4 linked regions of the Saccharomyces cerevisiae S288C genome follow. The main gene of each other region encodes a partner of the protein of the gene in region 3 in a complex. Each region holds a gene or a part of one and is shown on either strand. Other genes may lie near its edges. The genes, in order: ASK1, SPC19, DAM1 and DAD4.

Evidence for each region.
Region 1: DAM1 (region 3) and ASK1 share a complex: the UniProt entries of both Saccharomyces cerevisiae proteins name them as parts of the DASH complex.
Region 2: DAM1 (region 3) and SPC19 share a complex: the UniProt entries of both Saccharomyces cerevisiae proteins name them as parts of the DASH complex.
Region 4: DAM1 (region 3) and DAD4 share a complex: the UniProt entries of both Saccharomyces cerevisiae proteins name them as parts of the DASH complex.

The regions. Positions count from the first base shown.
Region 1 is NC_001143.9:339,099-342,240, forward strand, and holds ASK1 (Ask1p), read right to left. Parts: upstream 1,449-3,142; coding exon 570-1,448; downstream 1-569. Other genes in the region: MDM35 (Mdm35p), read right to left, coding at 84-344; SFK1 (Sfk1p), read left to right, coding at 2,214-3,142. UniProt on the Saccharomyces cerevisiae protein: Component of the DASH complex that connects microtubules with kinetochores and couples microtubule depolymerisation to chromosome movement; it is involved in retrieving kinetochores to the spindle poles before their re-orientation on the spindle in early mitosis and allows microtubule depolymerization to pull chromosomes apart and resist detachment during anaphase.
Region 2 is NC_001136.10:854,492-857,314, reverse strand, and holds SPC19 (Spc19p), read right to left. Parts: upstream 999-2,823; coding exon 501-998; downstream 1-500. Other genes in the region: RAV2 (Rav2p), read left to right, coding at 1-417; VPS64 (Vps64p), read left to right, coding at 1,222-2,823. UniProt on the Saccharomyces cerevisiae protein: Component of the DASH complex that connects microtubules with kinetochores and couples microtubule depolymerisation to chromosome movement; it is involved in retrieving kinetochores to the spindle poles before their re-orientation on the spindle in early mitosis and allows microtubule depolymerization to pull chromosomes apart and resist detachment during anaphase.
Region 3 is NC_001139.9:717,023-720,424, forward strand, and holds DAM1 (Dam1p), read left to right. Parts: upstream 1-1,870; coding exon 1,871-2,902; downstream 2,903-3,402. Other genes in the region: YGR111W (uncharacterized protein), read left to right, coding at 1-8; cytochrome oxidase assembly protein SHY1, read left to right, coding at 336-1,505; chromatin-remodeling histone chaperone SPT6, read left to right, coding at 3,387-3,402. UniProt on the Saccharomyces cerevisiae protein: Component of the DASH complex that connects microtubules with kinetochores and couples microtubule depolymerisation to chromosome movement; it is involved in retrieving kinetochores to the spindle poles before their re-orientation on the spindle in early mitosis and allows microtubule depolymerization to pull chromosomes apart and resist detachment during anaphase.
Region 4 is NC_001136.10:1,107,676-1,110,239, forward strand, and holds DAD4 (Dad4p), read right to left. Parts: upstream 824-2,564; coding exon 605-823; downstream 1-604. Other genes in the region: auxilin-like protein SWA2, read right to left, coding at 1-426; asparaginase ASP1, read left to right, coding at 1,027-2,172. UniProt on the Saccharomyces cerevisiae protein: Component of the DASH complex that connects microtubules with kinetochores and couples microtubule depolymerisation to chromosome movement; it is involved in retrieving kinetochores to the spindle poles before their re-orientation on the spindle in early mitosis and allows microtubule depolymerization to pull chromosomes apart and resist detachment during anaphase.

The sequences.
Region 1 (3,142 bases), on a different chromosome or scaffold from region 3:
TCACTATACATTATTATAAGTCGATATTGCAGTATTAGTATTTACATGTTGAATAATGCACATTCTGTGCTAAAATATATACTTCATTTGTCAACTTCTTTTAGTTTGCCGCCATTTTCAAACGGCGCCTCCTCCCTAGCTTCGTCTAGAGCAGGCTTAATACCTTGTTTGACGAGAGCTGCGTTGACACATGTAGTATAAGCGTACCATTGTTTTGAGCACTCGTTCTCAACGGATTTTCCCTTCAGGAATTTTTCGCTATACCATTCATTAAAACAACTATCGTATTTCGTCTTCAGGTCAGTGCATTCAGGCGCAAAACTAGCTGACATTATATTCCCCATATAAAACTGGTATTATTGTTATTGTAATTCAAGTTAAAACACAAACAGATGTTTTCTAATGACCTCTCCCGGCATATATCTGGCGCACTTAGAATAAATTTCTACATGCAAATACTCTGAATATTCTGAATGTGGCTCTCCCTATATCGAAGAAAAAATATAGCGGGCCCATTACCCTGCGTTCTGATATTCATCACTAGTAAAAATTGTATGTACTTATTTATTCTATCTATTCGTAGAAAAATGAATGATGGTCCCAGGCTTTGGTACTTCTTTCGTACTCTCTTCTTCATCGGGCCCTTCGTTGTTATCATCCGCTTGTCCCTTCGGGTGGTGGTGCCCCTGCTTCAGAGGCGAGCTCTCTATATTATTGCTGTTCTCATCGTCGTTATCGCCGTCGTTATTAATATGTTCTTCATGAGCCAGTTGCTTCCGCATTTTATTGGGCACAATCGGAGACGGTACCATGCTGGAACTAGACCCGTACTGCTGCTGCAAAAGTAGCGAAATCTTTCTTTTGCGGCTTTGTCTCTGTATTGTACTTTCATCTTGCTCATCATCAGCTCCACCATGACCCTCGCCTGTAAGGTCTGTTTGCTCCCTTGAAGGCACCGCCTCTGAACCAGTATCTTCGTCGCTAGAGTCCGGAAGTTTCAATATCTGTCCCGTGGATGTTATATTCGCTGTGTGGAAATCATCTATACTGTCGTTATTAAACATAGAATGGACATCCCGGTTGACATGTACAGCTGAATCTGCCTCGTTAGGCCCATTGTCTGTCTGGGACTGCCTACTCGCCTCTTCAGCGGATGTAGGAAATATACCAACATTATTGCTCACAAGGCTTTTGACTGGAGCGTTTCCCACTGGTGCAGCTGCATTTGCCTGCAAATTCACCAGCCCAGTCTCTTGAAACATAGTCCCCAGCCATTCGGTGCTATCCATGATCCGCTCACATATTTCTGAATATGTAGCCACGTGTGGGATGATGTCCTGGGTGATCTTATGAAAGCAGAAACTCAAGTTAGAGTCTATCTTCTGCAGGTTCACTGTAATTTCTTGATCAAGTTTTTCCAATGTTTCCTCTTTGCTTGCAGAATCCATTTTTTGTGTCAACAATCCCTTATGTTGCTCTTTCCATACGTTGATCAACCTGGCTCTATTCCCACCCCAAACTGTAGATATCTATTTTGTTGATGCCTCAGCTCACCAAAACAAACCAAAAAAACGGAAAAAAAAAACGGAAAAGAACGGAAACAAACGGAAAAGAACGGAAAAGAAAACAGGAAAAACTCGCTGTTCTGTTACCCGCGCGGCACTACCGCATTTAATCGGAGTAGCTACTAATCAAGCAAGGGCCTCCGTTCCTCTATGACGCACCGGACATATCGCATTTCCACTATAATAGTGCAAGTAGGACGGGATAAGGCCCAAGATTATCAATGAAGACTAACACAACGGTCTTGCCAGCCATATCCAACTCTAAACATCTTCCACGGCTGTTCAAAAACGAAGATCTCTTACCCCTCTGCGGCTTAAGGGCTCTGTTCAATTGAAGGATCCGCGGCAGTAAAGTAAATGGATGAAAAAAAAAAACTGGAAAAATAGCAACTTTTTTCAGCCTGGAAGATTTGTCATCTAAGCGAAGGAGAATGAAACCGGAATTTTCACTCCTTCTTAGGGGCATTCAGTTTATAAATATAGTTATTCCCTGAAGTTGAGATTTACTGATTTAACATCTGGACAACTAAAAACCTAAATAATAAGACACAATTTTTTGCGGGATTTTTTTTCCTTTAGATACTTTTAACATTCATAGTAAAAAGTTCTGCTACATAGTAAAAACACATAGAAGGTACAAGCAATAGCATGATTCAATTTAAAAGTCCAGGTAACTGGCTGTTCATAGTACCCTGGATTGCCTTCATTCCATGGTATGGTATGCTGATAGCCATGCTTATTTGCTGGGCCAGTCAAGGCCATCCCATATATTGGTTCATGCACTCGGAGCAATTCCCTGTGTACATTTCAGATATAGGTGCCACTAATTTAAGGCCACTGTTTATATCGTGCGCCGGCTGGCAGGGTCTAGGCTATGTAATCACTGTTGCCCTTGAGTTTTTTCAAAGATCCGGCTATCTGCCTTTCCAACTGAAAAAAAAAGACCCTTCTATCTCTGATTCCACATCTTATGCTGAGAAATTGCACAGCGGTAAATACTTAATGCCTCCATATTACACAAAGGATGAACGGAACCTGATTTTCGCAGCTTTTGTTCTCGGCAGCATTGGTGAACTAGCCCTTTTATTCAGTTCCATCTTCTCAACCGCCCTGTACCATCGCGTTCACATTGCTATGGTCTCTGTTTTCGTCGTCTTCATGTTCCTATCCACTTGCTGCTTGATTGCAGAGTATTTCCTCATGGGAAGGCACTATGCCTCAGTCCACCCCCTAGCCAGCCCTCATTTCAATCCTCAATCATCTGAAAAAAGCTTTAACCAAGATTATAACACTGTGGATGAGCTGCCTTGGTATAAATGGAAAGGCCATGTATGGAATAAATTTACCATCAGTGCAACTCTAAAAGTTATATGGTTAACTCTCGCAGTTGTATGGGCCATTTGTTTTGGTGCTATCAATGATAGATCTAAGAGTGCTTGTTTCGAATGGTTGCTAGCATTTTGGTTTGGTATCATATTTATGATTCTTTCCGCCGACTTTTATTTAGGTGGAAGATACAGACAATCCCGCTATTTCAACCACGTGGAATCATTTTCGGGTTATTACAAGTATGACAA
Region 2 (2,823 bases), on a different chromosome or scaffold from region 3:
CTTTGCATAGAACTACGAAATCTAATTAAGGTGACTAAAAAACCTTGGTGCGAGATTGATAGTAAAACTGGCAGGTCATTTTGCGACCAAATAAGAAATCAAGTGACAAATGAAAGAAACAAAACTTTATCTAAGATCCTCTCAGAAAACGGTGTACAAGTCCAGGATTCCACATTACTTAACCACATAATTTCTTCTTTTCAAAGTGAAGCTATAACACTTCCAGAAGCTCAGGAATTATTAAGAAGGGGCGTTACTTTCGATAATAGGGTAGTCATGGAATGTGAAAAGTTAATAGTATCTACAAGTGATCCAACTTTGATCAGTATAAGCGCCAAATTGAACAGTCTCAAAGCTTCGATGGCGAACCATCAAGCAAATTTGGTAGCTAGCAAACAGTTAAGTACATATAAGTAATCTACTAGCGATAACATTAACAATAATTTATAATACAAACTGGATAAAGAGATAAATGGATGCTTTAAAAAATAAACTTCTAACTATTTCTGTTTGAGTATTTCCAACTTATTCTCCAGTTGCTTCTTCTTTTCCTTTAGTTTCTTCAATTCTTCCAATTCCTCATTAGTAGAAGATGCCATCATAACCACGTCGTCCGCGTCTCTGCCTTCGTATTCTTGACCCATGTCTGGACTATTCAGAGCATCATCGTCATCCATACTAATGTTCTTCTTTAGCCTTAAATCGTTTAATTCATAAGTTTGCTGCAAAGTATCGAGTTCCCTTTGCATTCTACCCATAGATTTACGTAACTTATCGCCCAGAGTCCTAACCAGCGGTTCTACCTCTTCAATCAAATCTAATTTTGATCTTTCAACATCATATTCGGGAACTAAACGGAAAACCCTTTTGGTTTGCAACATTGTCGATGCAAGGTTCGTGCTTGGCTCATTTGCACATTTTAAAGACTCCACAGAATCCTTCAATACTGAAACTGTTCCCTCCAACGCAAGGACGCTCTGTTCCAAAGCATCTGTCATGGTTATTTTGCCTATCCTTCAATTCGTACACAGATATATGCGTCTGTGATCTGTTTATTATTCATTTTCATTGTTGCTAACTACTACGCCCTGTGAAAACAAACTTTATAATCGCCAATAATAAATACATAATGAAAGTAAATCGCAATCCGGACCCCACGGATAGTCACCAGTCTCACCAACTGGAAATTAGAAGGAAGGAAGACAACTGTAAATTCTTGGCATGGTAGAACTGGAAAAAAGAAGACGGCCCCCTCCGCAACTGCAACATTCTCCCTATGTTAGGGATCAATCGAATTCGCAGGGAATGACAAAGACGCCAGAAACGTCACCGCCTAAGAGGCCCATGGGAAGAGCTAGATCAAACTCGAGAAGCAGTGGATCCCGTTCAAATGTCGATATAGATCAGTATACCATACCACCAGGCTTAGATTTGTTGCCTACCGCTTCATCTCCACCTTCCGTCCATCAAGTTTCACAACAGCAACAATTATCCCCAATATTAGCCAACAAAATCCGTTCTCCATTTGAAAATCAAAGTCAGGATCAAAATGACAATTCAATAGACCCAACACCGGCTGGACAAGTAACAATTCCTGTAGAAGCCGTATCTCCACCGGCACTGGACGAATTATCGAAATTCCAAAATGGTTCAACTGAGACATTATTTAGAACTGGATCACCCCGTAAGAAGCATACACATATTATTATACTCAAATCCTTAAATGCAACTTTTGAGACCAAGTTTCTTGTTGTACCATTTAAACCTGACGGACTTAAATTAGGTCGACCAGTTACCAATAGCGTAAACAAGAATAATTCAGGATCGAAAAGAGATTTATTTTCGCAACAAGTTAGACCAGATAACGGAAATTTTGACTCAAGAGTTCTTTCCAGAAATCACGCTTGTCTCAGTTGTGATCCTACATCAGGAAAGATATATATTCGCGATCTAAAGTCCAGCAATGGGACATTTGTTAATGGGGTTAAAATACGCCAAAATGATGTAGAATTAAAAGTTGGTGATACTGTGGATTTGGGAACTGATATTGACTCAAAGTTTGAACATAGAAAAATCAGTGCGTATGTGGAAGAGATTTCAGTAATTCCCTTAATGAACACTGTATCTGATCCCACAAATTTGGTGATGAAAAAACAAGATCATACTAATAAGAATAATGGGAACTCCACTAATATAAACGGAATAAAGATAGACAGAGGTCATCATAATCAACACATTCCAATACGATCTCATTTAAAGGAAAATTATACCGAAGCTGGTGTAACATCTGCAACAACGGCTCAAAGGGCAGCCTTTGAGGCAGCTATGTTTGGAGATATTAATAACTCAGAATTAGATGATGATATTTTAGGTCCAGAAACTGAGGTTCTCAGTGGAATTTTTATCAACAATTCAGCAGGTACAAGCATAAATTTGATAAATATGATAAAAACTTTGACTACTGAGCTGTCCTTAGAAAAACAAGAGCTGGAAAAATTACATTCCATGCAAAACTTTATGCAAAACTATACGATAAACCTTGATTTCATCAATAAGCACATGATTGATATGAATGAAAAGCATTTACTGAAACTGAGCACGGCTTTACAAAAAACTCTATCAGAAAATAATGATGCGCTACTCAAAGAATCGGAAGATCAATTAAAAGAAATCAAACAACAAAATAATAAAGTAAAATCTGCATGTAGCTTGAAGGAAAAACAAAACCATGAAAAGCTACAGGAGCTCGAAAGTGAATTAAGAGAGCTGAACCTTCAAATAGAAGAAGAGAGGGGAAAAAATTTAGTTTTAACACAAAGCAAT
Region 3 (3,402 bases):
GGTTTTAAGTCAAATATTGTGTTGCTTATACAGGAAAAGTCAAGGTTTCAAACTACATATCATTATTTACTGTTAAAATTCACATATACTAATACATACGGTAATAGATTGAACCTCTTCTGTGCTCTTCTCTAAAAGTACTTCTGAACGTATGTGTCATTTTTCCTTTCAGTTTTCTTTGTAGCTCGCATTGATGTAGCCGAGTATATTTAAGGGATTCTTATGCAATGATGAAATATTTTTCACCTATAACGCCGACTACTGAAAACAGAGGGCCATCTTAACCGTTTTGCATTCAGTAACCCATACTCAGGATTTAATAAAAGAGGAAAGCAATGTCTCTACTAGGCGCCAGGTCCACTTACCGTTGGTTTTCAATCGCTGCATCAATTCCGACTAAGAATGCTATTGGCAAATCCACGTACCTCTTAGCTTCAAGAAATCAACAGTACCGAGGCATCATAACGTCAACTGTAGACTGGAAACCAATCAAGACAGGTAAGAGCCCAAATGATGATTCTCGAAGAGAAAGATCCTTTGGCAAGAAAATTGTTCTGGGTCTGATGTTCGCGATGCCAATAATATCCTTCTATTTGGGAACTTGGCAAGTAAGGAGATTGAAGTGGAAAACCAAGCTGATTGCGGCATGCGAAACTAAACTTACTTATGAACCAATACCACTTCCTAAGTCATTTACACCTGACATGTGCGAGGATTGGGAATACCGTAAAGTTATACTTACCGGACACTTCCTTCACAATGAAGAGATGTTTGTTGGTCCAAGAAAGAAAAATGGAGAAAAGGGTTATTTTCTGTTTACACCGTTCATTAGAGATGACACCGGTGAGAAAGTTCTGATAGAAAGAGGGTGGATAAGTGAAGAAAAAGTTGCTCCTGACTCAAGAAATTTACACCATTTGTCGTTGCCTCAAGAAGAACACTTGAAAGTGGTTTGCTTAGTAAGACCTCCAAAGAAAAGAGGCTCGCTACAATGGGCGAAAAAGGATCCAAATTCTAGATTGTGGCAGGTGCCAGACATATATGACATGGCAAGATCATCAGGGTGCACGCCCATTCAATTTCAAGCCTTGTATGACATGAAGGACCATCCAATAATCGAGGAACACACAAGAAACGAGGCTTCACAAAACAATTCCACCTCTAGCCTGTGGAAGTTCTGGAAACGAGAACCTACGACTGCTGTAAACGGAACGCAAGCTGTTGATAATAATACATCGAAGCCTCGTTCTAGGCAGGAAATGCCGACAGACCAAACAATTGAATTCGATGAACGACAGTTTATCAAAGCAGGTGTTCCCATAGGCCGGAAGCCCACTATTGATTTAAAGAATAACCATCTACAATATTTGGTAACGTGGTATGGCCTTTCGTTTTTGAGCACAATCTTCCTCATTGTGGCTCTTAGGAAGGCGAAAAGAGGGGGCGTTGTGTCCCAAGACCAACTAATGAAAGAGAAACTGAAGCATTCAAGGAAATATATGTAAACGGCAAACTCCTCTGCCCATACTATCGAACTCTATCCAAGAAGCGCGTAATTTCACGAGCACTGCCTAAACGGTTTTCCACATTAGTTTTGCAACTACAATGATTCGGATATGGCACATTTACATAATTTAAACTTGTACATAACTAACACCTTTTTATCCATATACCTTATGTGCCGCTCAAGATATGAACATTGCGCGTTGCCCGGACAATATCGATAAATAATAGCCAAAACAAACATGTTTTATCGACGCATGAATCCTTTGGCGTTAAACTTGTCCAATTGCACTGAAACTTGGAGCGTATAAGCTCAGCAATTGCACCAAAACAATATCAGAAAAGGCTTGTATTGCCACTTTCACCTATGAGCGAAGATAAAGCTAAATTAGGGACCACAAGGTCTGCCACGGAATATCGTTTATCCATTGGTAGCGCTCCGACTTCAAGAAGGTCGTCTATGGGTGAATCCTCATCCCTGATGAAATTTGCTGATCAAGAGGGATTAACGAGTTCCGTTGGCGAATATAACGAGAATACCATACAACAGCTTCTGTTGCCTAAAATAAGAGAACTGAGCGATTCAATCATTACTTTAGATTCCAATTTCACGCGCTTAAATTTTATCCACGAGAGTTTAGCTGATCTTAATGAATCCCTAGGTTCGTTGTTGTACGGTATTATGAGCAATTCATGGTGCGTAGAATTCTCACAGGCGCCTCATGATATTCAAGACGATTTGATCGCTATTAAACAATTGAAATCGTTGGAAGATGAGAAAAATAACTTAGTAATGGAACTCTCCAATATGGAACGCGGGATTAAAAGAAAAAAAGACGAACAAGGTGAAAATGATTTGGCCAAGGCATCTCAGAACAAACAGTTTAACCAGCCGCTATTTCCCTCCTCACAAGTAAGAAAATACAGGTCATATGACAACAGAGACAAGAGGAAGCCCTCCAAGATAGGCAACAACTTACAAGTAGAGAATGAGGAGGACTATGAAGACGATACTAGTAGTGAAGCTTCTTTTGTTCTAAATCCAACAAATATCGGTATGTCCAAATCATCTCAAGGTCACGTGACTAAAACCACGCGTTTGAATAATAATACCAACAGTAAACTGAGAAGAAAGTCCATCTTACATACAATCAGAAATAGCATTGCTTCCGGCGCTGATTTACCCATCGAAAACGACAATGTTGTTAATTTGGGAGATCTGCATCCAAATAATCGAATATCACTCGGAAGTGGTGCTGCAAGAGTGGTCAATGGGCCCGTTACGAAGAACAGAAATTCAATGTTCTCAGGACGTGCTGAAAGGAAACCCACAGAAAGCAGACATTCTGTTGCAAAGAAAACTGAAAAAAAAATAAATACAAGGCCCCCCTTCAGATGACTACGCCCAACCCAACCAAAGAATTATCCTCCTCACAAAATATATCGCTAGCATGCGTGAGTTATGGATAAGAAGAATATTTGATGAGCTGACTGATTCTTTATAGCAATAGGGAGGAAGGCAGTACACATATCAGCAGTGCATGGGCACAACCCGCATTACAACGAAACATGATATATCTATATAAAAGAAGATACGGACAGGCGGTCGAGGCTATTACTGTGCCACTATGCGAGTCATGAATGATTTTTAAATTAGTTAGTACCCCTTTATATAACGTCTTCAATAAAAGTGCGGGAAAATTCGGGTAATATTTTCTATAACTGTCATTTTTTTTTCGTTATGTATGGCAAACCAAATTGACAAGAAACTGGACAACGGTTAAAGCAAAAGGAGGAAGAAAGATATTGATTTGTGCTTTGAAGAATAACCCAAGCGAACAGGTCATTAATTGCCTAGAATCTTTACATAGAATTTGCCTTTTATGGAAGAGACGGGAG
Region 4 (2,564 bases), on a different chromosome or scaffold from region 3:
AACTTCATCAACTAAGGCGTCATCACCATTGTAAAGGTGGTCTTCCTTGCTTCCATAGTAATCCTCATCCGGTTTTTGGATCGTATCCGTTGTAGTTACTGTGCCCATACCAAATAGTTGATTGAAGTCGTCATCGGTATTGGCAAGAGCCGAGGGAGGTGTGTTGTTGGCAGTATTAGATTTAGTGGTGCTATTAGTTGGGACCAAAGGAGGTGCAGAAAAATCTACCTTCGGTGACGGTATCAGCGGAGGAGCTGAAATTGAATGCAGACTATCATTGGGGCTTTTATCCGTCCTTGCAACATCTGCAACAGCGGAACCAGTAATGGAAGGCGAATTGCTGCTCTGAGGAGTTGTTTCCTTGGATGCAGATGCAGAGTCCTTATTCTTCAAAGAAGTCAGTAAATGTGCAAATGGATCTGACATTGATGTTGACTGTTTCTTGCAGGCTGCGTCCTTTCCAGAAGCACAGGAATAGGTTAAGCGATGTGCTGTTATTTTTTTCTCCTTTTCGCAGGAAACAGTGATCTTAAATGAATATATTAGAAACGGTATAGCATATATATATGTGTATATGAGTATGCGTATATAGAAAATTGGTGAATTAAAGAGGTGGCTTCTTGTTATTGGTCGCTTCCAGGTTGAATTGGACGCTACTATGGTAGTTATCACAAATTGCGCCCATGATTTCTAGATTTTTGTTCCGATTATTAATGGTCACAAGCTCCTGGTTAAGAATTGCCACGCTCTCATTGAGCCTTTTGACATTACCAATTATTCGCGAAAGTATGTTAGCCTGCACTTGTTCATGAGGGTTCTCCATGTTATGCTTTCTTTCCTAAACTCACTTCTTTTCCTCCCTATCTGCTTTTGTTTATTACAGTTGAAGGCTACTTGTGCCGTTCGTGTGAAAAAATACTCGATGAAAAAAAAAAAAAAAAGATGATGACGATGACTTTGTTGAAGAAATGTGTTTGAAGACAGTGGAGGATAACAGCACTCTCATCGCACTTTTGGAAGCGTATCATGAAAAGCGATTCAGTTGAAATCACTACCATCTGCCCAGATGTTGAAAATTCTCAGTTTGTTGTGCAAAGCAACTGTCCAGAGACTATTCCAGAGATTCTAAAGTCTCAAAATGCCGCTGTGAATGGCAGCGGCATCGCTTGCCAACAACGTAGCTTACCAAGAATCAAAATCTTGGGTACCGGTGGTACTATTGCATCGAAAGCTATAGACTCCTCTCAAACTGCCGGCTATCATGTTGACCTGACCATCCAAGATCTATTGGATGCCATTCCAGATATATCCAAGGTCTGTGACATTGAATATGAGCAACTATGCAACGTGGATTCTAAAGACATAAACGAGGATATTCTTTATAAAATTTATAAGGGCGTCTCAGAATCGTTGCAGGCTTTTGACGGTATAGTTATTACCCATGGGACTGATACGCTATCTGAAACTGCATTCTTTATTGAAAGTACTATTGATGCTGGCGACGTTCCTATTGTTTTTGTTGGTTCGATGCGTCCTTCAACCAGCGTTTCTGCTGATGGCCCTATGAACCTTTACCAAGCAATTTGCATTGCTTCAAATCCAAAATCTAGAGGAAGAGGTGTTCTTGTTTCCTTGAATGACCAAATTTCCTCTGGTTACTACATTACTAAGACGAATGCAAATAGTTTGGATTCTTTTAATGTTAGACAAGGCTATTTAGGAAATTTTGTCAACAATGAAATTCACTACTATTATCCTCCTGTGAAACCGCAAGGTTGCCACAAATTCAAACTGAGAGTGGACGGTAAGCATTTTAAATTACCAGAGGTTTGCATTTTATATGCTCACCAAGCCTTTCCGCCAGCTATAGTCAACTTAGTGGCAGATAAGTATGATGGTATTGTTCTTGCTACCATGGGTGCTGGTTCATTGCCGGAGGAGGTCAATGAAACCTGCATGAAATTGAGTTTGCCGATCGTATATTCCAAGAGATCGATGGATGGTATGGTGCCTATTGCCAACGTACCAAAGAAAGGTTCAAAGGAGGATAATCTCATCGCATCTGGTTATCTAAGCCCTGAAAAGAGCAGAATCTTGTTACAATTATGTTTGGCAGGTAACTACACGTTGGAAGAAATTAAACATGTTTTCACTGGCGTCTATGGTGGGTGAAAATTTTGTAATTTTTTGCATTTGTGTCGATATATATATATATATACATAGACACAGAGATAGAGATATAATTATGCAAGTCCCTGTTAATGCTAGTCTGAGATGAGTACAGGAATTCTTCATTTAGATTGTCTCGGCTATGTCACTTTTCTATCGTTTCACCTGCACATGGCTTTGTCTTGAATACTGAAGCCGTTATTATAGTTCTATCTTCATGTTTTTAGAGGTTTTTTTTAAATGAGTTTATTAAAATTAAATTTTGAATGTTATTTTTGAATAAAAATATAAAAAAAATAATATTAATAATTTTTCATTAACTGCTCATGATATCAGTGCATTAGAAAATCTTTTGGTTCCACTTTTCCTATAAAAATAATTCAAGTTTTATCATT